Linked DNA regions of Tamandua tetradactyla. The protein of the gene in region 1 interacts with the protein of each later gene in a pairwise test. Links are inferred from orthologs where the notes say so. Each region holds a gene or a part of one and is shown in the gene's direction. Other genes may lie near its edges.

What was found.
Region 2: the proteins of TEX11 (region 1) and HYI interact in binary tests that used the Homo sapiens proteins (3 or more experiments, as listed by UniProt). The two-hybrid records come from large-scale screens. The link is inferred for Tamandua tetradactyla from reciprocal best matches to the Homo sapiens genes TEX11 and HYI.
Region 3: the proteins of TEX11 (region 1) and NECAB2 interact in binary tests that used the Homo sapiens proteins (3 or more experiments, as listed by UniProt). The two-hybrid records come from large-scale screens. The link is inferred for Tamandua tetradactyla from reciprocal best matches to the Homo sapiens genes TEX11 and NECAB2.
Region 4: the proteins of TEX11 (region 1) and CCDC198 interact in binary tests that used the Homo sapiens proteins (3 or more experiments, as listed by UniProt). The two-hybrid records come from large-scale screens. The link is inferred for Tamandua tetradactyla from reciprocal best matches to the Homo sapiens genes TEX11 and CCDC198.

The regions. Positions count from the first base shown.
Region 1 is NC_135353.1:100,742,839-100,750,049, forward strand, and holds the start of TEX11 (testis-expressed protein 11), read left to right. Parts: upstream 1-4,161; 5' UTR 4,162-4,586; intron 4,587-5,152; exon of another isoform or gene 5,153-5,219; intron 5,220-5,417; 5' UTR 5,418-5,438; coding exon 5,439-5,475; intron 5,476-5,673; exon of another isoform or gene 5,674-5,695; intron 5,696-5,943; exon of another isoform or gene 5,944-6,521; intron 6,522-7,211. UniProt on the Homo sapiens protein: Regulator of crossing-over during meiosis. Involved in initiation and/or maintenance of chromosome synapsis and formation of crossovers.
Region 2 is NC_135328.1:180,595,089-180,602,290, forward strand, and holds HYI (putative hydroxypyruvate isomerase), read left to right. Parts: upstream 1-4,063; 5' UTR 4,064-4,130; coding exon 4,131-4,329; intron 4,330-4,414; coding exon 4,415-4,526; intron 4,527-5,796; coding exon 5,797-5,911; intron 5,912-6,075; coding exon 6,076-6,154; intron 6,155-6,243; coding exon 6,244-6,293; intron 6,294-6,406; coding exon 6,407-6,476; intron 6,477-6,596; coding exon 6,597-6,731; intron 6,732-6,857; coding exon 6,858-6,931; 3' UTR 6,932-7,016; downstream 7,017-7,202. UniProt on the Homo sapiens protein: Catalyzes the reversible isomerization between hydroxypyruvate and 2-hydroxy-3-oxopropanoate (also termed tartronate semialdehyde).
Region 3 is NC_135342.1:78,661,944-78,669,358, forward strand, and holds the start of NECAB2 (N-terminal EF-hand calcium-binding protein 2), read left to right. Parts: upstream 1-4,393; coding exon 4,394-4,603; intron 4,604-7,415. Other genes in the region: OSGIN1 (oxidative stress-induced growth inhibitor 1), read left to right, coding at 1,808-2,756. UniProt on the Homo sapiens protein: May act as a signaling scaffold protein that senses intracellular calcium.
Region 4 is NC_135338.1:8,227,458-8,235,416, forward strand, and holds the start of CCDC198 (factor associated with metabolism and energy), read left to right. Parts: upstream 1-4,831; 5' UTR 4,832-5,052; coding exon 5,053-5,275; intron 5,276-7,501; coding exon 7,502-7,584; intron 7,585-7,959. UniProt on the Homo sapiens protein: May be involved in tuning the metabolism, energy expenditure, and excretion processes.

The DNA.
Region 1 (7,211 bases):
AAGGTAAGGCCTGAAAATGGTTGATTGGTTTTATCTTTTAGGAGGTAATTGATGATCACTTCAAGAGCTGTTTTGATCAGGTGGTGGGGTGGAAGCCAATTGTAGTGGGTTGAGTGATTGTAGGGTGAGGAAAAGAATACAGGAGCTATAGGCTAGCATTTGGGGGCAGTAGCTGGAGGGAATGAGGGGAGAACTTTTGGATTGTTGTCTTAAGAGGTATGGATGGGGTACTATGAGAATTCACAGAAGGGAGGTCTGGAAAGGCTTCATGGATATTGAGGCTTTTAAGCAGAAGTTAAAGGGTAGGTAAAATGTGTTATTTCAGAAATGGGGAAGGGCATTCCAGAGGGAGGGAACATTTTATGCAAAAGCAAGAAGTTGGGAAAGCTTGTGATTCATTTTGCCTGGAGCCTAGGAATTTGAAGGAGTGAAGTGGAAAAAGAAGGCAGGAAAGTTAGTCTGGGGTCAGACTCTTGAAGGCGATTAATTCTAAGGCCTGAACTGAAGTGTGTAGATAAGTGTTATAAAATTGAAGAAGGGAGGGAGTGGTTCTGTGGTTTGACTCAATGAATTCCACCTCGATTACCCACTCACATGATCATACCCTAGATCTTGCCATCACCAGAATGTGCATCTCTGAAATCAATAATTTAAACATCAAGTTCTCTGTCCACAACTCTCCTAGATTTCCCAGCTCACTTCCTCAAGTGGCCTCAATAATCATCCAATTCACTGACCTCCTTCCCACACACTTTCTTTCTTTTCCTCACTCTACTCCAATCTTTACTTGCTCCCTTTCCTACATAAATTACTGAATTTATTATCATTATCGTCACTCGTTTGCAAATATCCTCAATCCCTAGGTAGCACTCCAGAGTTCCTCTGGAGGAATCCAAACATCTTCTTCATTCTTTCACCTGTGCAGTTCAGGAATGTCAGAGGAAATCACACAACTGGGCAAGCTAACTAACTGGGCAGCAAACTGGGCATTAACCTCAACTAGATGCTCAACACTCTGAAATAACGATTTCTTACCTCTTTCACACTCCCCACAGTTCTCCTTCCTACTCTCTATTGACTTTGCTCGTAGTTTGTTGAGAAAATTACATACCCATCAGATAAAAACTCCCTCATCTTCCTGTGTTTTTTTTTTAAATGAAAATAGCTTTCCTCAAGATAAAAATGTGTTTATTATAGAAAATTAAAAAACACTGGATAATATAAAGAAGAAAGTAAAAGTTCTTCAGAATCCCACCATCCAAAAACAAACATTCTTAACATTTTGTTAAATATCTTTCCAGACAATTTTTGTTCACGTATGCCTAAGATTTGCATACGTATTACATACCTTCTCTGTAATTTTTTTTCCTTTTTAAACTCAACAGTATGATATAAGCGTTTTCCCAGTTTTATAAGTACAGGTTATTTTCACAATAATGTTTTAAAGACTGTATAGTATTCCATTGTATGGCCCCAACGTACCATAAGTTGCGTAACTAGTGCACTACTGGTGAACATTGAAGTGGTTTACAATGATTCAGTGAATGTTTCCTTAATATGTTTTAGCACATTTTCCCAATTTCCTCTTTAGGAAAATTCCTAGAAGAGAAATTCTTGAGTGATGAGATAAACACATTTAAAATTTGATACACATGGCCAAACTTCCCTCCAGAAAAGTTGCAATAATGTATGCTTCTATCAGCAGTGTCCAAGAGTGTTTGTTATGTGTATCTTGCCAACTTGAGATTTTTGCTCATCTTTTTAATCTTTGCCAATCTGATAGATGAAAAACTTACCTTGCTTTAATTTGCATTCTATGATTACAGATGAGGTCAAACATCTTTCATGTGTTTATTGGTTATTTGTCTCTTCCTGTGTGAATTGTTGAGCGTATTCTTTACTCATTTATTTACTTGGAGTATTTGTCTTTTTTCTTAAGAGCTATTTTTGTGTTAGAAATATTAACTATCTGTGATATATATTGAAAAAATTTTTCTGGGCTGTGGTTTGTCTTTCAACCCTGTTTATAGAGTCATGCAGAAGATTTAAAGCTTTATGTAGTAAAACATCATCATTTTTCCTTTTTTGATTCTGGTTTTCAGATCATGTTCAGATATTGCCATTGTCATCTTTATAAAATATTTGCTCTTATTTTCTTTAAGGAATTTTATGATTTCATTTTGATCTTTGATAAATCTAGAATTTATTTTGGTGTATGAAATAAAGTAGGAATCTATTTTTTTTTTTTACAAATTACTATCCAGTTATTCCTTTCAATGCTCTTGAATAATCCATTTCCCCCCCGATTTGAATCATTTCTGTGTGTGTGTGTTTGTTTTACATATCTGTTTCTAGACTCTATTCTTTTCCATTTTAGTGTAGTTTTAACATCTGATGGAAAAAGCCCCTTCTCCCTTACTCCATTAATACTTCTGTTTTAGAATTTTCTGATGATTATTCTATAATTTCATGTTTATTCTGAAGGTGTTTTTCTTCTTCTAACAAAGTGTAATACACCTTATTACCCAATTTGCATTCCTGGCTGCTTACTTTCTTTTAATCCACTGTATTAATGAGAGTCTTAATAGGATCTCATTAGAGTCCAAGTTGTTCACCTGCCTTATGCACTATATACATTTCACCATTTCTGTATCAATTTTTTACAGGGAGGGGCAGAACATTTATAGTTGATGCTAGGGTAGGGAAGATAATGCACAGCATGTTGAGTGACACTTAGTGGTGTTTTATTATTCACCCTTGTATATGCTCCTCAATATGCACCTGCTTCTTTTCTTTCCCCTCCGGTCTCCTCCCTAGTACTTCCTTGCTCACTCTCCCGCCCCTCTTTTTTAGTTTATTCTCTCTCTTTTAATCCTCACTTGGCTTTTAATGTCTAGGAAGGTCATTTGGATCAAAAACAAGAAATTGAAGATGCCCATTCAATGTAAAGGCTTTCACCCTTTCTATGTATTTTCCTTGATTCACTGATTGTTTCAGTGCACTGGTGTCCGCTCTGTAGTCCTGACTTTGGGGTCATATTAGTGATGAGCATTATTCAATAGAGTCATGTGATTCCTGTATGCTTTACATAATCTTTAATAAGATAATCTTCACTCTACTATGAGCATTACTAATCACTAAGAGGTCTGCGATTTATGTGAAAGGGCCACTGTAGACTTGAGAGATGAGGTCTCATTATCACTTTTTTTGTTCATCTTATTGATCCATGAACAAATAAGTCATGGTGCTGGAAGTAGAGGCCTGAGTGGGATGATGGGAATTGGGAGTCCTTAGTATGCCAACGAGGTTAGGGTGAATGATAATGGAAACTGACATTTGCCATGTGCCTACAATATGCTAGCCACTGTTCTAGATGCTTTATGTACAGTATTTCATTGAACCAGAAGGCTAGAAATAATTACTTTTATTCCCATTTTACAGAAGAGGAAATCAAGGCACTAGTATATGTTGTATGGGAATTCTGTCAACTATGGGATAATCTACTGCCCCTTTCATCAGACTTCTTTCCCTAATTTAGTGATCTACACTTATGAAATGAGGACATATTAAATTGGAGGATGCAAAAGAAGAGAAGTTAATAGCAATACTTTCTCAGTTTTCCTGTTTCTCTTCACTGTACTATATGATCCAGATGGAGAAAATTTTGAATAGGGGAAAAACTATTTTTAGAGCCCTTCATTACTTTCTGTGATATATAAGGACTGACTCCAAGACTTTCAGGGTCAGGAGGGAACTCTATCCATGTTCCCAGAATGGAAGCCACAATTTCTCTTGTTCATCCTGCCAGCCATTTCTACATCTGGACTGAGATGCACAAGGTTTCAAAGAGGGTGTGTGAAGGAAGAAGTAGGAGACTTGTTAATGTTTTGATTGTGGATTATTTTCCAAATCTGGAGGCAATCATGCCTTAACACATTCAGCATCTGCTGTCTCTGGGTGGAGGTTTCAGAACAGTTCAATTTCTTGTCTGCAAACATTACCACAAGTTTAGCTGGAATCAAACATGTTTACCTATATATCCCACCCTCACCCCCAAAACCATTTGTCTGAAGATAGACGGAACATATGATCTTACTGTGAGCATGCAAGGGTGGGAGATGGGGGGCATTAGGTAGTTTCCTTCAGATTTGGCCAGGGCAGGGCAACAGAAACATGTCTTGGAACTATAGGATTTTTCAGTCTCCTCAATTTCTGACCTTTGCCATTCTTCAATAATCAGAGGGAAACATACTTTTTCACCCACCTGCCCCCAGTCCAAAGGTCTGCTCTCATCTTTCCTGTAATCCCTGTCCTCTGCATTCTTCTCTCAATTGATTGCAGTATATTTCTTATATCATCATACTTGCTTGCTCTCAGTGATTCTCACCCTAGATTTCTGAACTACATCCCTAGGGCCTAAGGTCTAGACTGCGCCCCAAGGCACAGATTCTGTGATACAGGGCAGCGCCTGTTGGGCGAGGCAGTTGATTGCGTCACTACGAGGGGAGGAGCTTTGTGAGCGTCATCTTGTGGTGTGGAAGGAGCCTGAAGAGAAGACAACTTGGCGTTGTCGGGTCCTCGGTGAGGTGAGTGTTTTAGTGGGGAGGACGGGCTAGAGGAGGATTCAGGCACAGGCTAGTTGAGTGGTTTGTAACAGCAAGATGTGGCCACTATCCTAATACTTTTTTTTTTCGTGGGCAGGCACGGGAAACGAGCCCTCTGCCTGCTGAGCCACCGTGGCCCGCCCTATCCTAACACTTTTTAAAGAATGGCCCTGAGGCAATAACTTTGGCCTACTGAGCTTCTGAGGGCTGACTTTTAGGTGAAGGGAGAGGGGCAAAGTTAGTGTTTTTTCTGCCTTAGGATAGAGTTTGGGGAGCCGTGCTGGGCCACTGAAAGCGGGAAATAATAGTTATCGTAATTTGGATGTGACAGACTTAAAACCCCGTTGAAGCTAGATTCCGTTGAAGCTAGATTCCGTTGGACTGCGCGTTGGGGGTGGGGAGCTGAAGGCGCTCGCTGAGTCTTTGAGAGCGGGAAAAACAACGCTGAGTGATTGGATGGTTTGAATGTAAAGATGTAAATGGGCCGGCGATTTTGAACCAATTAGGAGGAGGCAATGAGAACCAGCCAGACCAATTACAGGGTACCCCTGAGCCCTGTTTCTCTCTTTACTAGGCAGCTTTATGGGAAGAAAATCGCTAGTCCTCTAGGGGGAGGTAAAATCTCCTCCTGGTCCCTTTTGAGTCACCCACCAGCCTGCCCCGCCCCTCATTAACTACATTTTCTAGGTTTTTAAATATCCTCAGCCGTTTTTCCCTTTGAATAGCTAGTAACAGGAAAAATTTGATTGTAAAGAAATTTATTGAGAAACTAGATGATAAAGGAAAGACTAAAATATTTTTTTTATTTCCTAGGCCTGAACCAGAGATTTTAAAATGGAGGCTGCTGATTTTCGCTTCATGGACTTTAAAGGTACGTAGTTTTACGTGGTCATAAAGAGAATGTCAAGTTGTTCGCTGCCTTATTTTAGGTCTTTTTTTTTTTCACATGGGCAGGCACCGGGAATATTTTAGATCTAAATGTTTTTTGTAACCAACTTTTATCTCTTTGGAGATATTTTTTTCCAGGTTTTCTCAATTATTTACCAGGAAAACAATGTAGGTGCTTGACATGGGGACCCTTTTATGTACTAGTTAGTGTAGGGAAAGAAAATTCGCAATTCATAACTTGTTTTTTCAGGATTTTTACGGTATGCAAAATAAAACTGGTTTAATCTGAACTTTATCAATAGAAATTATCTGTGTAAAAGTACATGTAGGTGACTATAAAGGATTAAAGATAGCTGCTTTTGAGGCAAAGGTGTCTATAAAAATATGAATGATGCAAGAACTTTACTTAAAATTAATGACTACCCCAATAATGAGGTGCTGAAAAACTGAGTACTAACTCTGGAAGAATGGCAAGTAAAGTGGGTTAGCTGCAATATTTTATTTCATCAAGAACAAGGACATCAGCTATTAGAGAGGCGTTTGGATACTTTACTTAATGGCAAGAGTGGACAAAGGATATTTTTCCCTCTTTATGGGAAAGCAGTTGAAATTAGATGGTTTGCAGACCAGAGACATAGCGTAGTTGGTGTGGAGATCAGTGAACTGGGGATTCAAGATTTTTTTGAATCAGTATTCAAATTGGTGAATTTGACACGATTTGGGATAGAAGAGCCTTAGTCACTGTTAATCCAGGTGATCGAGAATGTGATGTTAATATAATGTCCCTAACAAGAAAAGGGTTCCAGTATTTCATGTTTGGTTTCTAACGGTCCACCTAAACATAGAGGCCCACCATTTTATAATCCAGGCACTGAAATTAAAAGTTTGTTTGGCCCAAAATGCAAAATTCATTGTCTTGAGAAAGTTGATGCTATTGAAGAGTGTCATAAAAGTTGGGGAATTGACACTACATATTTGAAAAATTATATCTATTTGCAAACAAAATCTAGTACATCAACATGTTTTTGAGCATTGGAAAATCATGTTCAAGCAGGAAAATATAATGAATGACTAAAAAAATCATTTACCAATCACATCACAGATCTTTGTTCAAAACTATATACTTATTATTTTGAGAACGTACACAATTTTGATAGTTAATCAAATGGTATTTAAGATAGTGTTTAATATTTGGAATCTAAGAAACTCTGATATTTGTATCTATAGATTTTTCCTTCCTTGCTTTAATTTTAAATTGGCTTATGAAGACTCGTACAAACAGACTTTACAATCATTACTTAGATATTTTATTTAAATATGCATATGGATAAGCTAACTAAGATATCCATTTTAGGTGTTTAAAGTTTCATATGTTAATTATAAAAACATTTGTATCTTCATATTTTCCTGAAATCAGGAAAATGTTTAATAACATAGGTCATTACTGTTACAATGTAGATATTTGTAATAACTTTCTACTTGATATTTTTAAAACATTCACAGTTTTAACAACTGATCAAATGGTATTTAAGTTACTGTTTAATATTTAGAATTTAAGAACTTTGCTCTCTGGATTTGTAGATTTTTTCCTTGTCCCCTTAATCTTAAATTGGTTTATGAAACTTGGTGTGCAAACACAGGTTTTACAATGGTTATTTGAATACTTTATTTGAATATACCTATGGTTACACTAAGATATCCAGTTTCGGTGGTTCTAAG
Region 2 (7,202 bases), on another chromosome or scaffold:
GTGCTATCCAATTCTAAATACAGTATTTGTCCTTTTGTTTCTGGCTAATCTCACTCAGCATAGTATCGTTAAGGTCCATCCATGTTGTTACATACTTCATAACTTTATTCTGTCTTACAGCTGCATAATATTTCATCATATGTATATACCATAGCTTGTTTAGCCACTCGTTTGTTGATGGACATTTGGGCTGTTTCCATCTCTTGGCAATTGTAAACAATGCTACTATAAACATTGGTGTGCAAATGTCCATTTGTGTCCTTGCCCTCATGTCCTCTGAGTAGATACCTAGCAATGGTATTGCCGGGTCATATGGAAATTCTATACTTAGCTTCCTGAAGAACTGCCAAACTGCCTTCCACAGTGGTTGTGCCATTTGACATTCCCACCAACAGTGGATAAGTGTGTCTCTTTCTCCACATCCTCTCCAGCACTTGTTGTTTTCTGTTTTATTGATAATGGCCATTCTGGTGGGTGTGAGATGATATCTAATTTGTGGTTTTGATTTGCATTTCCCTAATAGCCAGGGAAGTTGAGCATCTTTTCATGTGCCTTTTGACCATTTGTATTTCCTCTTCTGAGAAATGTCTGTTCATGTCTCTTGCCCATTTTGTAATTGGGTTGTCTGTCTTTTTGTCATTGAGTTGATCAATCTCTTTATATATTCTGGATACTAGACCTTTATCTGATCTATCGTTTCCAAATATTGTCTCCCATTGTGTAGGCTGTTTTATTACTTTCTTGATGAAGTCCTTTGATGCACAAAAGTGTTTAATTTTGAGGAGTTCCTTTCTCTTTCTTTTCTTTCTTTCTTTCTTTTTTTCTTTTTCTTTCTTCCTTCCTTCCTTTCTCTTTCTTCTTTTCTTCCCTCCCTTCCTCCCTCCCTCCCTCCCTCCCTCCCTCCCTCCCTTCCTTCCTCCCTCCCTACCTACTTACCAACCTGCCTTTAATGCTTGTGCTTTGGGTGTAAGGTCTAGGAAACCACTTCCTATTATAAGATTGATAAGATATTTCCCTACATTTTCTTCTAACAGTTTTATGGTCTTAGATCTAACGTTTAGGTATTTGATACATTTTGAGTTAATTTTTGTATAGGGTGTGAGATATGGATCCTCTTTCATTCTTTTGCATATGGGTATCCAGTTCTCTAGGCACCATTTATTGAAGAGACTATTCTGTCTGTCTCAGGTGAGTTGGCTTCACTGCCTTATCAAAGATCAATTGTCCATAGATGAGAGGGTCTATATCTGGACACTCTATTCGATTCCATTGATCAGTGTTTCTATCTTTATGCCAGTACCATGCTGTTTTGACCATTGTAGCTTTGTAATACGCCTTAAGTTCAGGTAGCATGAGACCTCTGACCTCATTTTTCTTTTTCAGGATATTTTTTACCTACTCGGGGCACCCTGCCCTTCCAGATATATTAGGTTTTTGTTTTTTCTATTCCTGAAAAGTAAGCTTTTGGGACTTTAATTATTATTGCATTGAATCTGTATATCAATGTAGGTATAATTGACATCTTAACTATGTTTGAGTCTTCCAATTCAGGTAACTATTGATGGTTGCAGTCTGCTCTTGGAGAAAGAATTAAAGGAATGTAAACAGGCAAGTACTTTGATGAGTTATGGGTTTAGCCTGGGCCTCTATATCTGGGAATGGAAAGGAGACGTGACAGAACAAACAAGAGCTGCATTTTGAGATTCCCTCTGTCAAAGCTAACAGAGAACATAGATCAAGGTGATTTCTACTTATGTATTATTGGAATATAAACTGTTACATGTTTGAGAAGCAATTTAGCCTAGTCATCTAGAACTTAAATGTTAAGTTTTGACACGTAATTTCACTTCTAGGAATCTATCCAATCAGTAGGGTTATTGTAGATGCAAGTAAATGCATTCAAGATGTCTCAAGAAATGTTAAGACTACACAGACCCAGGAATCCAGGAAAACCTAAACATCTCAGCCTCAGGAAGAGCAAATATCTGGGAGTGGCTGTGGGTTTTGACAGCCCTGGGAACTCAACAATAGGAATTTCTCAATGTGCCACCTCTACTTATTTGACTAGGAAACCATCCTCTCTGCCCTAGCTCTCTTTTATTATCTAATCACTGCTTCTTTATAGTTTCTAGTCCCTGGTAACTTGTTTGCACATGGCCTATCGGATCAGTCCCAATCATCTTCCAGCAATTCTTCCAGGTGTCTCTTCCCACCTCTTATTTGACTGTTTCAGTGTTTCCTTGTTTGAACTCTCCAGAGAGGGAATCTGATTGGCCGGATGTGTGGGTTTGAAAGGGTTATGTGCCCTAGAAAAGCCACGTTTTAATCCTGATCCATCTCGTGGAGGCAGCCGGTTCTTTTAATTCCTATTTAGTACAGTAGGTTGGAAACTTAATTAGATTATCTCAACAGAGATGTGGCTTACCCAACTGTGGGTTTTAACCTTTGATTATATGGAGAAAGGACTCCACCCATTCCAGGTGGGTCTTGATTCGTTTACTGGAATCCTTTAAAAAAGGAAACATTTTGGAGAGAGCTCTGGCAACCAGAGTCCTTTGGAGATGAAGAAGGAAAACGCCCCCAGAGGTGTTTCATGAAACAAGAAGCTTGGAGAGAATGCTAGCAGACCTCTCCACATTCGCTCTGTGCCTTTCCAGTTGAGAAAGAAACCCCAAACATCCTCGGCATTCTTGAAGCAAGGTATTTCTCTTGGATGCCTTAGATTGTACATTTCCATAGTCTTTCCTTAATATGGACATTTTCAGCCTTAGAATTGTAAACTAGCAACTTAACAAATTCCTCTTTTTAATTGCTGTTCTGTTTCTGGTATATCTCATTCGACAGCTTGCAAAAGTAGAACATCAGGTCACCTTTCCAAACCAAGCAATGCACGGGTCTTTGGTCCCCTTATGGATTGGCTGCCGTTGGATCAGGTGTCCTCCATGGTCCAATCAGCCGTGGCTGTGAGCAGATAACCCTGTGCAGAGACCAATGGTGGTGGGTGGCCAATGTTTCTAATAAGGGACTTTCCGCGGGCAGGCAATGGAAGGTACATCTTTAGAAAAGGGACCTAAGAAAAAGATTGAGAAACGGGGAATAAGGGGTGAAAAAAAGTGCCCTTTTGCTGTATGTTGAAAAAAACCGTAATTTCAATCAACAGAATAGCATGATAAACTACGGGCTACCTGTGGGGTGGAACAATAAGCAGTTAATGCGATGACTTTCAAGAATATTCAGGAATACCGAGACGAACTCACAAAATAAGTGTAACAGGGATATACCCTATATACAGTGTTGTCAGAATTTTTATACAAACAAATTAACCCCCAAAACTACGTTTACTTCTTTAATATGTAAGAGTAAGATAACAGATTAGTGGTACGATAACTGGTGGTTTTAATATTCTTCTTTATTCAGTCATACAGCTTTCAGATATTCCATAATGAGATATTTTTATAATTGAGGTAAATACTAAGTATTATTTGTTAAGTCTACAGCCATTAATTTTGGGCCCGCGGGACTGGGTCAGATCCCCCGGCCCCCTCCCCCCTCCCCATACCCCTGCGTCCCCACTCCCGTTGTCAAGGAGGCGCACCACGCTGCTCGGCCGCCTCCGCACCCCCAGGCCCCTCTTCTCCTTCCGGGTCTGCCCATCCCACCGAAGAACGGGCCAAACTGCTCTCCCTCGCATCCTTCCGTTCCTCGGCCCCCTTCCCATGATCTTATCTCGAAATAAAATATGTACTTTTCTGAACTGGCCAAGGTTTTTTCCAACACATTACTTTCCTAACCAAAAATAATAAACGTTTACTCTGAAAGCAGCCAAAGCAAGCTCTCGGCCGGGCTCCTACCGGCCCGAGCCTCTCTCCCTGCGTCCAGACGACTGGCGGCGCCAGCGCGATCTCGCCCACGTCCCTTCTGAGGCTCTCCGACTGATCAAGGCCCCAGAGCTCCAAGCGACCTCTCGGCAGGGCTCCCCGCCCGCAGTTTCCCCGCAAGAACTGCAGCCAGTTTCAGCTGGGGCCGGCCTTCCAAGCGCTCCCTGCCTCTGTGCACCTCGTCTGCCTTCCGCCTTCCGCCTTCCGGTCGGCCAAGGGATCTGACCCCAGGCCTGTCGTCACAGCCTGGCCATGGCTCCGCTGCGCTTCTCGGCGAATCTGTCGTGGTTGTTCCCCGAGCTCTCCAGCCTCCCCGCGCGACTCCAGGCCGCGGGCAGCTCGGGCTTCGAGGCCGCCGAGATCGCCTGGCCTTACACGGAGGCGCCAGAGACGCTGGCACGCTCGGCTCAGGACGCAGGACTGCGGCTGGTGCTCATCAACACGCCCCAAGGTGCGCCGGCCGGGCCGGGACTGGGTCGGACCACGGGGTAGGACCGGGCGTCCAAGCTGGGGGCTGAAGCTCGTTCTCTCCACAGGAGACCGCGAGAAGGGGGAAATGGGGCTGGGCGCCGTTCCTGGGAGGCAGGCGGCCTTCCGAGAGGGACTGGAGCAGGCTGTGCTGTATGCCAAGGCTTTGAGCTGTCCCAGGTATCCTACCCTTTCCTATCCCCTTTATGCCCCCTTTTGGCTGACTCTTCCCTACCTCTGACCCATAACCCAGGTCTGGAAGGCTCAGCTGACTGCACCAGCTCTGCCCACCCTAGCCAATCCTGGTCCTTTTTAATTTACCGTTTGCATTTTCTTTATGTTGTGTGTCATTCTCTGCTCATTTCCTGCTGGGATCCTATGTTAGGAGCTGACTAAGGAGATAGAGAAGTAAAATATACTGAGTAACCCATTCTATGATAGGGGTCAGTTCAAGAGACCATGGGAGCAGAGTTGGCACATAACCCCTCAGGGCCAGAGCTTCTTACAGGTAGTGATGCTTGAACTGGAACTTGAAGGAGTTACTTCGTGGGCAAGAGGGGAAGACCATTGGTCAGAGCCGAGAGGAGAGTTGGTATGTTCAGCAGGCTTCAAGTGTGTTTAGCGGGGTTCATGAGGCGGAGATGGAGCTTGTTGGTGTGGGGAGGGAAGGGAATGTCCGAAGTTTGGTTGTGGCTGAGAAAGACCAGATGGTGATATCAGGGAGGAGGTGGAAGGTTCAGAGTGGGTCTGATCAAACAAAGGTCAACTCCTGGAAAGGTCAAATCAGCCAAGAAGGAACTGGCAACAAGATTCATTACTGGTAAGTGGTGGGGGCAAAACACAGATGGGAAGGGGTGGAAAAAGATGTAAGGAGGTGGTACAAGGGTAGTTCAGTGGTTGAATTCTCACCTGCCACGTAGGAGACCCAGGTTCAATTCCTAGCCCAGGCGCTTCCAAAAAAACAAAACAAAAAAAACAAAAACACAAACAAAAATTCAACAAATGGTGCTGCAATAACAGGATATTCATATGGAAAAAGAATGAAATGTGACCCCACCATACAGCATACAAAAAAAAAAAAAAAGGAGAGGAAGTAGAGACAGGCAACATGGAATGCTTTGAGAAGGGTAAGGGTCGAAGTAAATTTTAAAAGTTGAGAATTAAGCATACCTTTAGGCTGAGAAGGGGCCAAAGGAAAGCAAGCACAAGAAGGATTAAATGATGGACTGAGGACTGTCAGGAGGGAATGGGATTTAGAGCCCAGGAAAATAGGTTGACCCTAAGAAGGTTTCTTGGCTGCCTGAGCATCATGGTCCAGGTGGTGTTGTGAACTGAAGACCTGGCATAGTCACGGCATCCTGGAGGAAGTGCACATAGGGAACCAAAGGCATGAAGGCCTCTGCTTCTAGGATGGACTTACCAGACTCCTCCAGTTCCATCTTCCCCACAGCATTCACCTGATGGCTGGCCGTATACCCCAGGGGGCCGACCGAGAAGTTGTTAGGGGTGAGATGGAGAATGTTTTTCTGGAGAACCTGAGGCACGCTGCTGGGGTTTTGGCTCAGGTAAGACATGAAACACATTTTGGCACACGTACTTAAATGTGTCTGGGTGTATGCTGAGGGAAGTGCAGTGGGGAGAGCAAGTGAGGCAGCACAAGGCTGTGGACAGGGAGTGAAGGGACAAATGTGGGGAGGAACTTCATTCACAGCATACATTGTGGCACTAGGAGAACCTCGTGGGACTGCTGGAGCCCATTAACACCCGCATCACTGATCCCCAGTACTTCCTGGATACACCCCAGCAGGGTAGGACTCTCAGCCCTATGCCTCCTCCTGTCCCTGTTGATTCCTGTATTTTTGAGTCTCATGGCTTCCTTCCTGACTTTTTCTCCCAGCGGCTGCCATCTTAAAGAAAGTTGGAAGACCTAACCTCCAGTTACAAATGGTAAGTGGAAGAATGCAAGTGTTTCTCAGAGAGCCCATGTTCTCCAAATCTGGGGAGCATGGAAAAATGACTAGCAGGGGCCTGCAGGGTCTCTGAAGTATTTTCTTCCCTAGGACATATTCCACTGGCAGATCATGGATGGGAACCTGACAGGAAACATCCAGAAGTTCCTCCCCATTGTTGGTGAGGGGTCCCTTTCTTTGCTCTTTCCTAATCTGCTATGTTTCCTGTGCCCTCCCACCCTTTCAATCCTACATCTCTTCCTCAGGCCTGGGCCCCACATCTGTCTATATCTGTCCCTAGGGCATGTGCAGATAGCACAGGTCCCAGGTCGGGGGGAACCTGGAAGCCCTGGAGAGCTGAACTTCCCCTACCTATTACAGCTGCTGGAAGACGAAGGCTACAAAGGGTTTGTGGGTTGCGAGTACCGGCCTCAAGGTGAGGGGTGAGGTGAAAGATGGGTAAGGCTCTAGGCTTGGCCCTGGGGAAGGGAGCACTGCAGGGACTTAACTGGACAGAGACTTTTTTCTTGGTTGAAATGCCACTGCCTCTTTCTCTCCTCAGGAGACACAGTAGAGGGCTTAAGTTGGCTCCGTTCATACTGGAATAGGCGAGGCTACCCACAGGCTGGCCAGTGAGGTCCTGCATACCATTCATGTGCCTCTCTGTGACAGCTGAGTGAGAGTCTTTGTCTCCTTGGAATTAAAGACAACCTGTGCAACATTTTCACATGTATATGCATTTAGGGTTAGAGGGCTGGAGAGGAGGTGTGGACAGCAGTTTCTTAACCCTTCAGCTTCTCTGGGCTGCTTCCTTCCTATTGAAAAGGGCTGTCATACAGCTTATGCTCAAGTCCTCCAGTCTTTGCCAGGGTTGCTGTAGAGATGAGAGAGCTTCTGAGCCCATCTC
Region 3 (7,415 bases), on another chromosome or scaffold:
TCCCTAGCACTATCACATTTGGGTATATCTCCTCCCCATCTTGTTTCCTACTCCATCTCTGGCCATGCTGCCCACCTGTGGGCCCTGGAGAAAGAGTCATCTTGTTGCATAAAGGAATTCCAGCCCCTGCTCACCCTGGGGGACACGGTGGAGGGCGGTGGATGTGCCCTCATGAGAAGCTGTCCCAGGTGTCGCCACCATGCTGGCATGTTTCCTTGTATTAGGGCTGCCCTTTCTGTCCTGGGGGCTGTGACAGGGCCCTAGGGCCTCTTTCGCAACTCAGTGTCCAGCTCTGCAGGGCTTCACTGTCTGTCTCCTGAACACAAGGAATCTCTGACCCTAACATTTTGATAGGAAAACATCCAGGCTTGTGTGATGATGTGCTAACAGGCAGACGGGAACTTAAACTTCATGGACGCACATGCCCTTTTATATCTTACCTTTAAACTTCAACATCACATCCTAAGCATTTCACTGGTGACTGGGCAATGATTGCAACTGTCTGTTGACACGGCCACACAAGACTCCCAAGGGTGCACGGGCACCCTGTCTCCACTGAATACCTCACTGCATGCCGGGCCATGTGCTCAGACATCAGGGCCAAGAAGCATGCTCCCTTGGCGCTGTCCGGTTATGGAATTTTTAGGTTCTTCCCAATTTGTGGTTACCATAAATAACCCCATGGGTAACACCTTCTTAGGATAGTTATCCAGAGAAATAAGTTCATTTGCAGAGTTCAGGTTCCAGTAGCAGAGTGACCGAGGTGGGTTGGCCACAGTGGACCTGGCCTGAGTTTACCCTACACTGTGGCATTTCCCAGATGTTGTGTTGCATGTTGCATGTTATTCCACATGCAGTGAGCTCATCCTTAGCTGTTGCTCCACACACTGGGGAAAGTAACTTGCCCTATGTCTTGGTGCTGGGTGGAAGGAGGAGCTGGGATTGTCCCAAAGCCTCGAACTCAACCACTGGCTGCATGGGACCCTGCAGCCATTGCCCTCAGAAAGAGTGGCAATATTATAACAACAATAATCATAAACTGCCACCATTCTTATGATGCAGGCTGGGCACATTGCTAAGTGCTTTACATGGAGTATCTTAAAAATAAACTGGTTATTTGAATTGAAGCACAGCCCACGTCTAGAAAAGTACACAGCTCACCTGTGTACAGGTGGATGGAGAAAGCCACCCAGACCCCAACGCCCCTCCCTTCCCCTTCCCATCTGCCAGCCCATTCCTTCTCCCCAGAGGAAACCACTAATGACGTCCACCTCCATAGATCAGCTTTCCCTGGTTCTGCCCTTGATAAAAACAGACTCATCCCCTATTTACCCAGACTGCTAGTTAACCCTTTTGAGGTAACAACACTGGCAAGACCTATGTGTCACTGGCTCCCACCACATTCCATTCTCAGCACTTTATATGTAGTCTTCCCAGCACCCTCATGAAGAACGCACTGCCACCATCATCCTCATTGCACATGTGGGGAAACTGAGGCACAAAGCCCACCAGGGCAAAGCCGGGATTTGAACCCGGGCAGTCTGCTTCTGGAGTCCGCTGGCCCTCTCAAGCCCACCCTGCACCTCCGGCCTCTTGGGGTCGGGGTCAGGGCCCGCAATGGCTCCATTTTACCGAAAAGGAGCCTGAGACTCTGGGCAGCTGAACCTCTGGGCAAGGCCTGCAGCTGGCGCGTGGTGCAGCTGCTGTCTGAGCTGCAGGTCCTGCCCCTGTCCCTGCACCACCTATCCCCTGCCACGCCCCAGGAGGCTCCCTGACACCCCCTCCCCTCCTGCGTCCTTTCCCGCAGGGGTCTGCGCAACAGCCGGGCCACAGCCGGGGACATCGCCCATTACTACAGGGACTACGTGACCAAAAAGGGTCTGGGCCGGAGCTTCGTGTCGGGCGCCGTGGTCACGGCAGTGCGGTGGGGGGCGCCCCAGCCCGGCAGCTCCGGGGCCCAGGACCCCAGCCCCCTCTTCCAGGTGAGCGGCTTCCTGGCCACCAAGGAGCAGAGCCGGCAGCCCTTCTCCCTGTGCGCCCGCAACGTGGTCCTGGCCACAGGCACATCCGACAGCCCCGCCCGGCTGGACATCCCCGGGGAGGGCCTGCCTTTCGTCCACCACGAGCTGGCGGCCCTGGAGGCGGCCACGCGGGCGGGCGCGGTGACCCCGGCCTCGGACCCCGTCCTCATCGTGGGCGCCGGGCTGTCGGCGGCCGACGCCATCCTCTACGCCCGCCACTACGGCGTCCCCGTGATCCACGCCTTCCGCCGGCCTGTGGACGACCCTGGCCTGGTGTTCAACCAGCTGCCCAAGATGCTGTACCCTGAGTACCACAAGGTGCACCAGATGATGCGGGAGCAGTCCATCCTGTCCCCCAGCCCCTACGGGGGCTACCTCAGCCTCCCCCAGCACCAGCTGCTGCTCTGCAAGGAGGACCGCCAGGCCGTGTTCCGCGACCCCGCCGGCCACCAGAAGGTCTTCGAGGTCTCGCTGGTGCTGGTCCTGATCGGCTCCCACCCAGACCTCTCCTTCCTCCCCGGGGGCGGCGCCGACCTCGCTGTGGACCCCGACCAGCCGCTGAGCGCCAAGCGCAACCCCGTGGACGTGGACCCCTTCACCTACCAGAGCAGCCGCCAGGAGGGCCTGTACGCCATGGGGCCGCTGGCCGGGGACAACTTTGTGCGCTTCGTGCAGGGCGGGGCCCTGGCCGTGGCCAGCTCCCTGCAGAGAAAGGAGACCCGGAAGCCACCCTAGTGCGGGGCCCTTGCACCCTCGCACCTAGGCCCTGAAGAGGAGGGGAGATGACCCCAGCCCTGCCGGGCGCAGGGCTCCTCCGAAGACGCCCTGGGGAGCAGAAGACGCCTCGGCAAGCAGGAGTGGCGATCCCAGGCTGTCCCAGACTCCCGCCAAGGCCCAAGATGCAACGGTGGGCACAGGCCGGGGCAGGCCCAGACCCACGATTTGGGGTGAAAGCTGCCGGCATCAGCTGGGCTCCGACAGCCTTGTCCAGCTCCCCAGGGCCAGCTGTCACCCAGCCGGGAGGATTCCAGGCCCTGCTCCTTCCAGGTCCCAAATAAAACCAGCGCCTGCCTCCACTCGTGTCTGAGGACTCTGTTTGGGGTGGGGTCCAGGGCCCTGGGGCCCAGCACTGGGAGCTGGAAGGAAGCACCGGGCTGTGTGGGTGATTCCCTGGGTGAGGGCCATGGGCTGGGGGACCACAAAAGAGCAGGTACAAGGGCAGCTGTGTTAGAGAAGCAGGAGGAGAACTAGGACAGGAGTGGTCTGCTGTGTGGGGGGCGTGGTTCACAGACCCTGCCCACCGCACCAACCTTTTCCCTGCCCCCACTCCATTGTAGCAACACTGTCTCCATTCAGCCCATGCTGGAGCTTGCCACAGGGCCTTTGCACAGGCTTTTCTCATCTCTCTTTAATTTCTTCTCTTCCTTTGAATCTCTCCGGATAAGGACCACTTCCTCCAGGAAGCCTCTGCTGACAAGCCCCTCACACAGCAAGGCAACCCGTCTCCCCCTCCCCCATGGCCCTCAGTCCCCCTCCCCCCACTTCATAGCAGTTTTAATTGCCCATTCCAGTGACTGCCTCCACCCCATTGGATATAAGCTCCAGGAAGCCAACGCCCTGCCTGTTCTGTCCAGCATGAGATGGCTGGGCACGGGCCCTGGCACCTAGTAGGCGCTCCTTAACTATACCTTGAGATGGATGGATGGACAGATAGACAGAGTGTGCGGTAAAGAGGGTATTCTGGCGTGGAGACTGGTTCTGGGGCGTTGTGTAATTGGACGGGGGGACCTGAGAAGATCCGGGAGGGCAAGGGTGGGTGCCCGCTGGAGTGATGCGGGAGCCTGGGGCGCGTGGGCGCCGATCCCCGCAGCCGGCGCCGGCAGAGGGCGCTCGGGGCTCGCCGGACACCCGCGGCGGCGGCGGCGCCACCGGGCGGGGGCGGCGGTGGATGGGTGGTGGGTGGGAGGGGGTAGTTACCTCCAGGTGGCGGGGGTGGGGGGGACAGACTGTCGAGGGGTGTAGCCCGGCGGTACGTCCCTCCCCCAGCGCCCAGATCCCCACCAACCCCGCGCAGTCCAGCCGGGGTCCAGCCTCCAGGCCCCGCGCCCTGGTTGGGGGTGGGGCGGTGGACACGGGCACGTGGCTGGGGTCCGGGCGGGGCACCCCCTCCCGTCCCCCCTCCCGTCCCCCCCTCGCTGGCGCCGGCCCGTCCCCGCGGTGTCCGCGGCCGTGGGGGCCGAGGGAGGGAGGGCGGGGCGCGCGGGCGGGCGGGCTGGCGGCGCCGGGGAGGGGGTCGCGCGGGGGCGGGCCGCGGCCGGGCGGGGGTCGGCGGGCTTCCGGGCGGCGGCGGCGGCGGCGGCGGGCGCGGCGCGATGTGCGAGCGGGCGGCGCGCCTGTGCAGGGCCGGCGCGCACAGGCTGCTCCGGGAGCCGCCGCCGCAGGGCCGGGCGCTGGGCGGGCTGCTGCGCTGGGTGGGCGCCAGGATGGGCGAGCCCCGGACGCCGCTGGCCCCCGTCGTCCCGGTCGCGGACCCCGGCCCCGGCCCCGCCTCGCCGCGCGGGGGCACCGCCGTCATCCTGGACGTGAGTACGCGCCGCCAGGGACCCCCGGCGGGAGCCTCACGGCGGCCCTGCCCCGTCCCGGCGGGACCCCCAGGCCCCTTCTCTCTGAGCAGGGGACCCCCGGCCCATCGCCCTCGGTCGCCCGGAGCAGGACCTTCTTCACCCGCTCCCGCCGTCTCCCGGAACGCGAGCCCCCAGCCCCTCCACGTCCCGGGCCGCTCCCTTCCCCGGACCCCCCTCGACTTCTCGCTGTCCCTGTGTCAGGACCTCCGGGGCCCCTGGACCGGGCCGCCGTCCCCTTACTTTTGTCTAGCCAAGCGCCCATTCTTTCCCTAGCCCTGCCCCCCACCCTATACCCCTGTCCCTTCCCGACCCGGAGCCCCTGACAGCTGCCAGCCCCTCCTTCTCCTTCATTCCCATCCAAGTTGCTACTTTTGTAAGCCCCCACCCCCACCCCCAGCAACCTCCCGCCCCAGCCTCTCTTCTTCCTTCCTCTCCACCCCGAAGCCCTGTGTTCCTATTCCCAGATGAGAGACCCTTTTCCTCCAGCCCCTCTTTGAAAATGAAGCCCCCTCCTCACCTCCTGCCTCCCCCTCTCCTTTCCAGAGGATTCGAAGCACCCCCACTGCCCTGGGCTCCTCTGGACTTCTCCCCCATTCCACCCCCCCACTCCCTTCACCGTTCCCTGTCTCCCACCCGGTCTAGTTCACTTCATGGACCCCAGACTCATCCCTTCACCCACCCGCACCCCGCCATCCGCTCAGGGACCCACACTGCACCCCTCTGAGGAGCTTGCCCCACCTTCCCACCCACCCCCTGCCCTGAGAGGGAGGGTTCTTGTGGGTGGATGGCATGGGGGTGGAAGACTTCTCCCTGCAGAGGGGCTCGGAGGTGGAGGGGCTTCAGCCCCCTCCCTCCACACCTTGCCTTGACAGCGTGGGGGTGCAGGTGTGCGTGCCCCAGTGAGGGTCCCGTGTGTGTGTGTGTGTGTGTGTGTGTGTGTGTGTGTGTGTGTGTGTGGCTTTGGGGACGGGGGTTGGGAGTGCCTGTGAGAGTGTGTTGTGGGTTTCTGGGAGAGTTGTGTCTCTGTGAGTGTGTGCATGGTGGTGTGTGCATGTGTGTACAGCGGATCCCTGCGAGGGCGGGGAGCCTGGGTTTCCCCTCTCCCTCTCTCCCTCTCCTTCTCCCTCCTCTGCTCTCTCCTGGAACTGGAGCTGGGTCCGCGGCGAAAGGGCTGGCCAGCGCGGGGGGGTGCAGGGCCCTGAGCGCTTGTGGCACCTGTGGGCTCGCTGCAGAGTTGGTGGCCGCAGACCCATGCGGGCTCTTCCCGGGAATCCCATGCGGCCCCATCCCTGGGTCCTCTCCTCTGAGGGCGATGTGGGATGGGGGGTGCTCTGGAGGGCTCTGAGCTTCCATCTCCTTGTCTGTGAAATGGGGGAGGGGGCCGGGAACCCCCAAGTGCCTGAGCACATTCCTGGAGCTGACATGTCGGCTGCGTCCCTGGGTTTGTTTGGCCAATGGCGCCAGGCTCAGGGGAGGCTCTGGGGATCCCCAGGTTGGGACCCCAGCCTTGGGGGTGTGCCCAGTCAGGAGGAGGGCGATGGCATGCCCAGGCTGGGCTCTGAGGAGGGGCTGGGGTGGTCTGATAACTGCCCCCTTTTCTGCCCCAGCCACAGTGGTTCCTGTCGGGGAGCCAGGCTCAGGATTCTCCTAAAGGGTAGGGGGGTGGGGACAGGGCAGGAGCTGGCTCCCTAGGGGGTCTGGGGGCGTGTTTAGGAAGCCTTCCCTGAGCTGCTGCCTAGCTCTGACCACTTCTGGGGCCTGATAAGGACCAGTGGCCCCTACCCCCACTGCTTACAGGGAGGTGGGATGGGGAGGGCAACTCTCCTCTGCTCCAGGGCCACAAGCCTCCCCCCACCCTTTGTCAGTGCCCCTTAGCTGGCCCCACCCAGACCACCCCATGTCTCAGAAAAACTTGGGGTGCCTTGGGCAGGACATTGCCCCTCCATCCTCCTTGCTAAAATAAATCAGTTCAACTATGTGGGGTCCAGTCTGAACCCCAGATCCTTCTCTTTTATAAGCACACAAATCCCCCAAGTGCCTGTTTAAAATGCAAGTTCTGATTCTGAGTCTGTGTGGGGCCCTGAGATTCAGCATTTTTAACAAGCTCCAGGTGATGCTTCAGAGACTGGTCCTTGAACTCGCCCCTTTGTATAGCGCTGTCCTAGTGCACAGGTTTCAACATTGACTGCACCTGGGAAGCTTTAGAAATGCTGATACCTGGGCCCAACTGGAGACAGGCTGATTTCATTGTTCTGGGGTGTGGCCTGAGGGTTTTAAAAGCTCCCCGGGTGATTGTGGCATATGGGAGAAAGGGAGAAATTGCTGGGTCAGCTGCCTGTTGGGGGTTCCAGCCTGACCTTGATGGACACGGAGCAGCTCTGCCCCACGTGTGTGCAGGTGTGTGCATGGCACTGGGAAGGATGCGGGAGACAGCGTCCTCTGGTCCAGCCTCGCCCAGCTCAGGAGAGGTCCCCTGAGAAGAGAGTTGAGGCCGGCGTTTGGGCTGCCCTTCCCCCCTTCCCTGCTGGGTACACCAGGCGCCACCTTCCTAGCTCCTGACAGCCTGCTTCTCCCTGCACCCCACCTGATAAACAGCCGAGCCCTGACCCGTGGCGAGTCCAGCCGCTCCCTGGGCCTTGCCCCTCCCTTAGGTGCCCCTATTCACACTTGATTCACCCTCCCGGAGAAAACTGGGGCTCCCGAGGGCCTCAGGGTGTGTGGTGGTGGAAGGTGTGCCCGTGGGATGCTAATTCTGAGCTGGGTTGTTTGT
Region 4 (7,959 bases), on another chromosome or scaffold:
GTACAGCAAAGTAGCAGGTTACAAGATCAACATTCAAAAATCTGTAGCATTTCTATACAATAGTAATGAACAAGCTGAGGGGGAAATCAAGAAACGAATCCCATTTACAATTGCAACTAAAAGAATAAAATACCTAGGAATAAATTTAACTAAAGAGACAAAAAACCTATATAAAGAAAACTACAAAAAACTGCTAAAAGAAATCACAGAAGACCTAAATAGATGGAAGGGCATACCGTGTTCATGGATTGGAAGACTAAATATAGTTAAGATGTCAATCCTACCTAAATTGATTTACAGATTCAATGCAATACCAATCAAAATCCCAACAACTTATTTTTCAGAAATAGAAAAACCAATAAGCAAATTTATCTGGAAGGGCAGGGTGCCCCGAATTGCTAAAAACATCTTGAGGAAAAAAAACGAAGTTGGAGGTCTCGCGCTGCCTGACTTTAAGGCATATTATGAAGCCACAGTGGTCAAAACAGCATGGTATTGGCATAAAGATAGATATATCGACCAATGGAATCGAATAGAGTGCTCAGATATAGACCCTCTCATCTATGGACATTTGATCTTTGATAAGGCAGTCAAGCCAACTCACCTGGGACAGAACAGTCTCTTCAATAAATGGTGCCTAGAGAACTGGATATCCATATGCAAAAGAATGAAAGAAGACCCATCTCTCACACCCTATACAAAAGTTAACTCAAAATGGATCAAAGATCTAAACATTAGGTCTAAGACCATAAAACAGTTAGAGGAAAATGTTGGGAGATATCTTATGGATCTTACAACTGGAGGCGGTTTTATGGACCTTAAACCTAAAGCAAGAGCACTGAAGAAGGAAATAAATAAATGGGAACTCCTCAAAATTAAACACTTTTGTGCATCAAAGAACTTCATCAAGAAAGTAGAAAGACAGCCTTCACAATGGGAGACAATATTTGGAAATGATATATCAGATAAAGGTCTAGTATCCAGAATTTATAAAGAGATTGTTCAACTCAACAACAAAAAGACAGCCAACCCAATTACAAAATGGGAAAAAGACTTGAACAGACACCTCTCAGAAGAGGAAATACGGATGGCCAAGAGGCACATGAAGAGATGCTCAATGTCCCTGGCCATTAGAGAAATGCAAATCAAAACCACAATGAGATATCATCTCACACCCACCAGAATGGCCATTATCAACAAAACAGAAAATGACAAGTGCTGGAGAGGATGCGGAGAAAGAGGCACACTTATCCACTGTTGGTGGGAATGTCAAAGGGTGCAACCACTGTGGAAGGCAGTTTGGCAGTTCCTCAAAAAGCTGAATATAGAATTGCCATACGACCCAGCAATACCATTGCTAGGTATCTACTCAAAGGACTTAAGGGCAAAGACACAAACGGACATTTGCACACCAATGTTTATAGCAGCATTATTTACAATTGCAAAGAGATGGAAACAGCCAAAATCTCCATCAACAGAAGAGTGGCTAAACAAACTGTGGTATATACATACAATGGAATATTATGCAGCTTTAAGACAAGATAAACTTATGAACCATGTAATAACATGGATGAACCTAGAGAATATTATGCTGAGTGAATCCAGCCAAAAACTAAAGGACAAATACTGTATGGTCCCACTGATGTGAACGGACATTCGAGAATAAACTTGAAATATGTCATTGGTAACAGAGTTCAGCAGGAGTTAGAAACAGGGTAAGACAATGGGTAATTGAAGCTGAAGGGATACAGACTGTGCAACAGGACTAGATACAAAAACTCAAAAATGGACAGCACAATAATACCTAATTGTAAAGTAATCATGTTAAAACACTGAATGAAGCTGCATCTGAGCTATAGGTTTTTGTTTTGTTTTGTTTTGATTTTACTATTATTACTTTTATTTTTTTCTCTATATTAACATTCTATATCTTTTTCGGTTATGTTGCTAGTTCTTCTAAACCAATGCAAATGTACTAAGAAATGATGATCATGCATCTATGTGATGATGTTAAGAATTAATGATTGCATGTGTAGAATGGTATGATCTCTAAATTTTGGGTTAATTTCTTTTTTTCCGTTAATTAAAAAAAAAAAAAAAGAGTAAACACACCTTTGCCAAAAATGCAAGGGAACCAATTACAGATCCCTTGCATTGTGCTTCTCAAACTTTAAGGTAACTTTATATTGCCTATGGATCTTTTAAAGTCAGATTCATGTCCTATGCTCTTTAGAACTGAGTTTGTGATATATGACTCTTCTCTAAAGTATTGAGTAATTCAGTAATCACTCATTATTGTAGGGTCTTATTTTATCATTGATCACATCATTTCTACTGAGTCAAATCACCTAAGCCTACCTAGTTTATGGCTACCTGTAATACCGGGGTAACATCCATTACTTGTGAAGAGCTGAAATCCTGCACTGGCCATTTTCCAAGGCTTTGAAAGTGTGATGAGATTCTACAGTGGAGGCTGGGGTCTCCCCACTTGGATAACTGGTATATATTATAGGGCTCCAGCTGCCTGCCCCTTCATAATATGAATGTGGTAGCTATTCACTACTTGCTGAACTCCTAACCACTCTGTTGCTTCAACCACATGCTCTCAATCCTAATTCTCCCTGTTTTATCCTCCCTGCCCTTCTAAAACCCCATTGTGTGACCTGTCTGACTGCTCACTGGGCTCCAGAATTCTGACTTCACTTTGGCAGAAAGTTTTTGGGAATATTTGTCAATCAGTCACCTGTGTCTACTTCAGCCTCAGCGTCATTTACCTAATTTATCTGGGGCTTTTCCAGTGCTATACAGTCTCCTCAATCTACTAGAAAAGGTTTCCATTCTATTCTGTTAAACACAGACATACACACACACACACACACACACACAGAGATTGAGCAACTAGAGTATGTCAGCTACTATATACTTTATTGTGAAAAAAAGTAATTGATGCAACTTTCTGCCTGCCTTTAGATCACCTACTTGTGATCTCATCTTTTTCCTTATAATGACAATATTTTGTATGACTGCATGTGAATTCAGCACATTAGGTTGGTACAAATAAGATTTTCAAAAGGAATAAAAATAGCTTGTCAATAATAAGAGTGAGATATAGTCAAAAGAGGAAAAAAAATCAGTTAGAAAGTTATAGAATTGTGATAAGAAAACAGATTCTTATATATCTAAAACACTGTCAATTTATATACATCATTTTTCTCTCATTTTTACCACTCTGCAAAGTGTGGAGAATAATGAAATATTCTAAGTAATTTGAAAAAATCAGAAGCAAAATGTTAAAAAAGAAAAATACACGTTATTTTCTGATTTTCTTTTTCAGAGAAAGAAAGCAAAGCTACACTGATAGTCACAAAAGTTCCCTCAATTATTTCCCTAGCTTCATTCTTCCCCCAGAGATAATCACTGTATTTTGATGGGGAGTATCCATGTTAGGTAGATTTGATGCTTTGATTATTTATGTGGAAAGAAACAATGTGTGCTTATAATTTACATAAATAGTGTACGTATATTGCTCTTTTTAATTTGTTATAACTTCATAATTTACATTTTTGAGACTTGTGTATAATGTAGATAGCTCCTTTTTAATTATTGTATGCTATTTCATTTGTATATGTTTATATTTTCATCTAATTGCATGTTGATGGATATTAAAATTGTTTCCATTTTTCTTTTGCTCTCACAAACCATGGAAAAAAAAAAAAAAAATGAAAGCTGAATCTTTCCCACTGGGTGATATCCATAAAGTCCACTGTTTTCAGTATAATTTCCAGTTCATCTGCTATTTTGCAGTACATTCCTCTGCTCTCAGAAATACTTAAAGTAATTATATCCCAAAATAAATCTGACTTGATATTATCTGAGTACTTCAATCTTTATAATTAAATAGTCTCTAGTTACCAAAGGTAATTTTGTTTGCAGATACTATTAATATATAATTATTTCTTCCAAGTCACTCTGCCACAAAGAAAATTGTGTATATAATTCAAAGGGAATAAGTCAGGGGAAAAATTAAACTAAGATATCTTTGTACAGGAACTATATTGGCTATCAAGATTTTCCAAAGATTGTATTATGCACTTAGCAAATGGACTCTGCAAAATTGAAAACTAAATTTCTTTGACCTTCTCTAAGGGGATTATGAAAAACAGGTAATCTATGGTTGTGAACAATTAGAACTTGAAAATGAGTTCTAAACATAAAGAATAAAATAAAAATCACCCATAATCCCACCAAATATTTTAACATATTTCCTTCCCTTCCTGTCTTTTTCTGTTTTTTTTTTTGTTGTTGTTTCATTTTTTGTTTTTTTTAGTAAATAGTCTATTTTTTGAAAGCTCAAGATTTATACAAAGATATTCTGCAGGTAATTCAAGAAATTTGCCCCTTACCCCAGAGAGAGAAAAATCCTCCTATTTTCTTTCTGCTTTCCTACAGTGTACCTATCCCCTTCAAAGACAATGTTATCGACAGAGAAATAGAATGATTGAATCTTTAAGTTCTTTGCTTCATTTTTTCATATTTCAAAGATGCATTTTTTTAATTAAAATTAAAGATGACAAAGCCCTCGGTAATTAGCATGCATCTTCTTATTTCCAAGGGTGACTTAGCTACTTTTGATTAGTGGATCTCACAAATGGTAATTCCAGGTATGCACAATGAAATGATCAAGTCTGAGATTTCTGCTCTGCATCTCTGGTAATGACCTTCCTGGTGTTAGAGATTTGTTTAATGATTAATAGTGGTTTCCATTTCCTACCGCTGAGTCTTTTGGAAAGTAGCATAACCAAGTCAATGTATAACTGGATTCTTCTGGTTTAACTGGTGTGGAATGGCCAAGTAGGAGTTGAAGGAATGTATCCATGGAAACCAGCCTCCCAGGAAGTAGCCAGTGGGGTTACTGCCTGGTGAATAGTGGTAGAAAGATATGAAGAAATGACTGTTTCGTAAATCTAGGAAAAACTGAAAGGAAAGCTTCTGAAAACGAGCTCCATTGAAAGCCAGTAAACACTTCCTCTTGAGTTCTCCTTTGAATGTGAAATGGGCTTGAACCACTCTAAGGCTCACCCTAGGGTGACAAAAGTCGCACCTTTAGAAAACAAGGAGGGAGAGGCTTCTCCAGCCAGCCCTGTGGACTTTGCATCCCGTCAGAATCTGGAAGAAAAGAGTTTATTTTCCTTGGCAAGGCTTCAGGACCAGAATAAAGCTCTGGCAGGGCAGCTGCCTCCTCTACGAGAGACGTGGTATGGAAGATATTCTGCAGGTGAGTGTCAACTGCAGCACGCATTAGGGTCAAGAACTATGGGTAGATTCACTTGACTTGTCTATTTCCACAGTCTCAGAAAGTTTCTAAATTATTGAAATGTAGGGGAACATCTTTTCATGGGGACCAAATGTTTACCAGTTGCAAGTATTGTTCTGGGTACATTAGAATGGGTATGTAAACTATGTGTAAAGAGCTTTTTTCATCATCGCACATGAGAAGAAAAGACTCATCTTTTCCACTTAGTTTATAGTTCCACTGTTTAGAGAGGACTTTGCCAGGACATTAAAATTACATTGATATTGATGTGTAAAAGATGGCAATCATATGTTTCAGCTAGATTCTAAATTTAGATCATTGTCTCAGGTACAGTTTAACCCATCAGGCTTTTTCATTTTGAAGGCAACACGGTAGGAGTGAATCTATTCTAATGCAAATTGGGAAACCATCCCAAACAGAATTGATTTATTGCAGTACAGATGAGTGGAGGATCAGCCTTTCCCCAACCCAAATCTTTCATGCGATGAAAGAGCACTGTGAAGTTTTTCCCACTGTGATTGGAAGCTTTGAGACTGAAGTGACATAAATTACTCCTGGATATTTTATAAAGCACGTAAGGCATGTTTTATGGCAACCAACATGATAATTAAGCAGACACTCCAACCAAATTCATTTTCTCTTTTCTTCACATTCTGAACCAATAACAGAAATAAGTTCCCCTCATCGGAGGACTTGGCCAAAGAGCCTTGTATTCTCTTTTAGCACCTAGCAGAGCTTACCTAGAATGATTTTCATGGATGCTTTCTGTAGAACTGATAATTACCCAGAGTTTTAAGATTTTGGTACCTGAATGGTAAAAAATGGTCCTAGTACTTGAGCGTCCCAACTAGAAAATGTGTTTCTTTTTGAAATGGCAAAACTGTATTCAGAAACAAATATGAAGGGGATGGCCAGAGTTCTGATCACTATTTCCAAGGGGCTCACGTTCTAAGCCCAGTTCCATCCACCAAATACCAAATCACATGGCCTTGGGAAAGTTATTTAATTTTTTTCACTTAAAAATCAGGGATAACAATAACAGCCTGACACAGCCCTTGGCATCTTAGAAAAACTAAATTAAATAATGGAGCGCTATCGTTCAAACCACAGTATAAAAATAAGTAGTCAGCCTTCTTAAAAATATTTGACCAAAAGATTTATATTTTGAAATCCAGTAAGTGCTTTGTTTTTCTCCATACTGAGGGCTGCAGCTATTGAAAGAAAATAAGAACATTGTTCTTATTCTACTAAAATTTAGAGAGAAGGAAGAGTCTTTAAAGTGGTCACCAATGTCTTGAGGATAGAGACACACAATTACCAAGGATTCTCCATTTAAAATGCAAAGCGGAACTGAAAGATGTTCTGTACAGCAACCTAGAATTCACAGTCCCTCCTGATTGTTAAAAAGAAAGGGCAAGACCTTCATTCATGTGGCATTGGTCACATTAGCAGTCCCAAGGGCCTAGGAGAATCAAGATAAAAAATAAAATTCGCAGTGGATCTGTTGACCTCAGTGTTTCCTAACAGAGGCTTAATCTGTAGCCCTGGCTTTTACCCCAGGTAAGAACATTGATATTTTGTATTACAATAGCAACTTGTGGGAATTTCTTTCCCTAGTTGGGGACTCTGTTTCATCTGAAACATGCAAAGCTAAGCATTGCACACACTCCTATTACACAGTCACGCTCCATTTCATTATCATCTAATTATCTGTATCTATCTATCTATTCATCCATCCATCTATCTTACTTATCATATATTTTTGCACTGGAAAAGAGAATTTTATTTTCATATATTAAAACTATTTTTTTCTGATTTCCTATACTTTACGGGAGATTTCATGGAAATATTATTGATTAATGAAAATCAATGTTTGTATTTTCCAGGCCAAATTCTATGTTTGAAAAGCATTTGTAGTCAATACATTGTTAATTTTGCAGCTTTCCCTCTAAATAGCAACCCAGGGAGAAAATGAGAGAGACAGAGATTAAATCTTGTGTCCTGGCTAATAGTTCATTGCTTGCATTCATATTGGGTCCCTGCTTTGTATTTCATCTCCACATTCAGACTATAGGTTAGGCATATATAACTGAAAAGACCCGTAATTGTATTAACACTCAAATAAGTAATGATCAGCCTAATTTAATAGTAAATTGTTTGTTCTTATTTCTCTCCCAATCCTTCAAGTGCCGAGGGCCATGTATTTTGACCTTCTCCGGGAACAGGGAGAAACAAGTATTATTAAAAGGCATCCACCCAGAAGACTTCAAGTAAGATGAATTTAAAAGGCTTCATAAAGAATTTCTTGGATTTAATGGTAACATCTCTTTTTAATTATAATCATAAGAGAGACAGATTAATAATGACCAAGCTGTTAATGAGGATGTTGTTAAGGAGACTGCTATCAATGGCAAAGACGATATTTCTTTAGGATTTTACTTGTGTAACTATTTCACTTTGAAGACCCATCACCAAAAAAGTCAAGTATAGTAGCAAAGAGGTAGACTTGGTGTGAATCCAGGGTCCTGAATCTAGCACTAATTAGTGGGATAACTATGGAAAAGTTACTTAGTAACAATAACAACGGCAATAATAGTAACTACTATTTGATGACCACCTAGTGCAATTTAAATGCTGTACTAGGC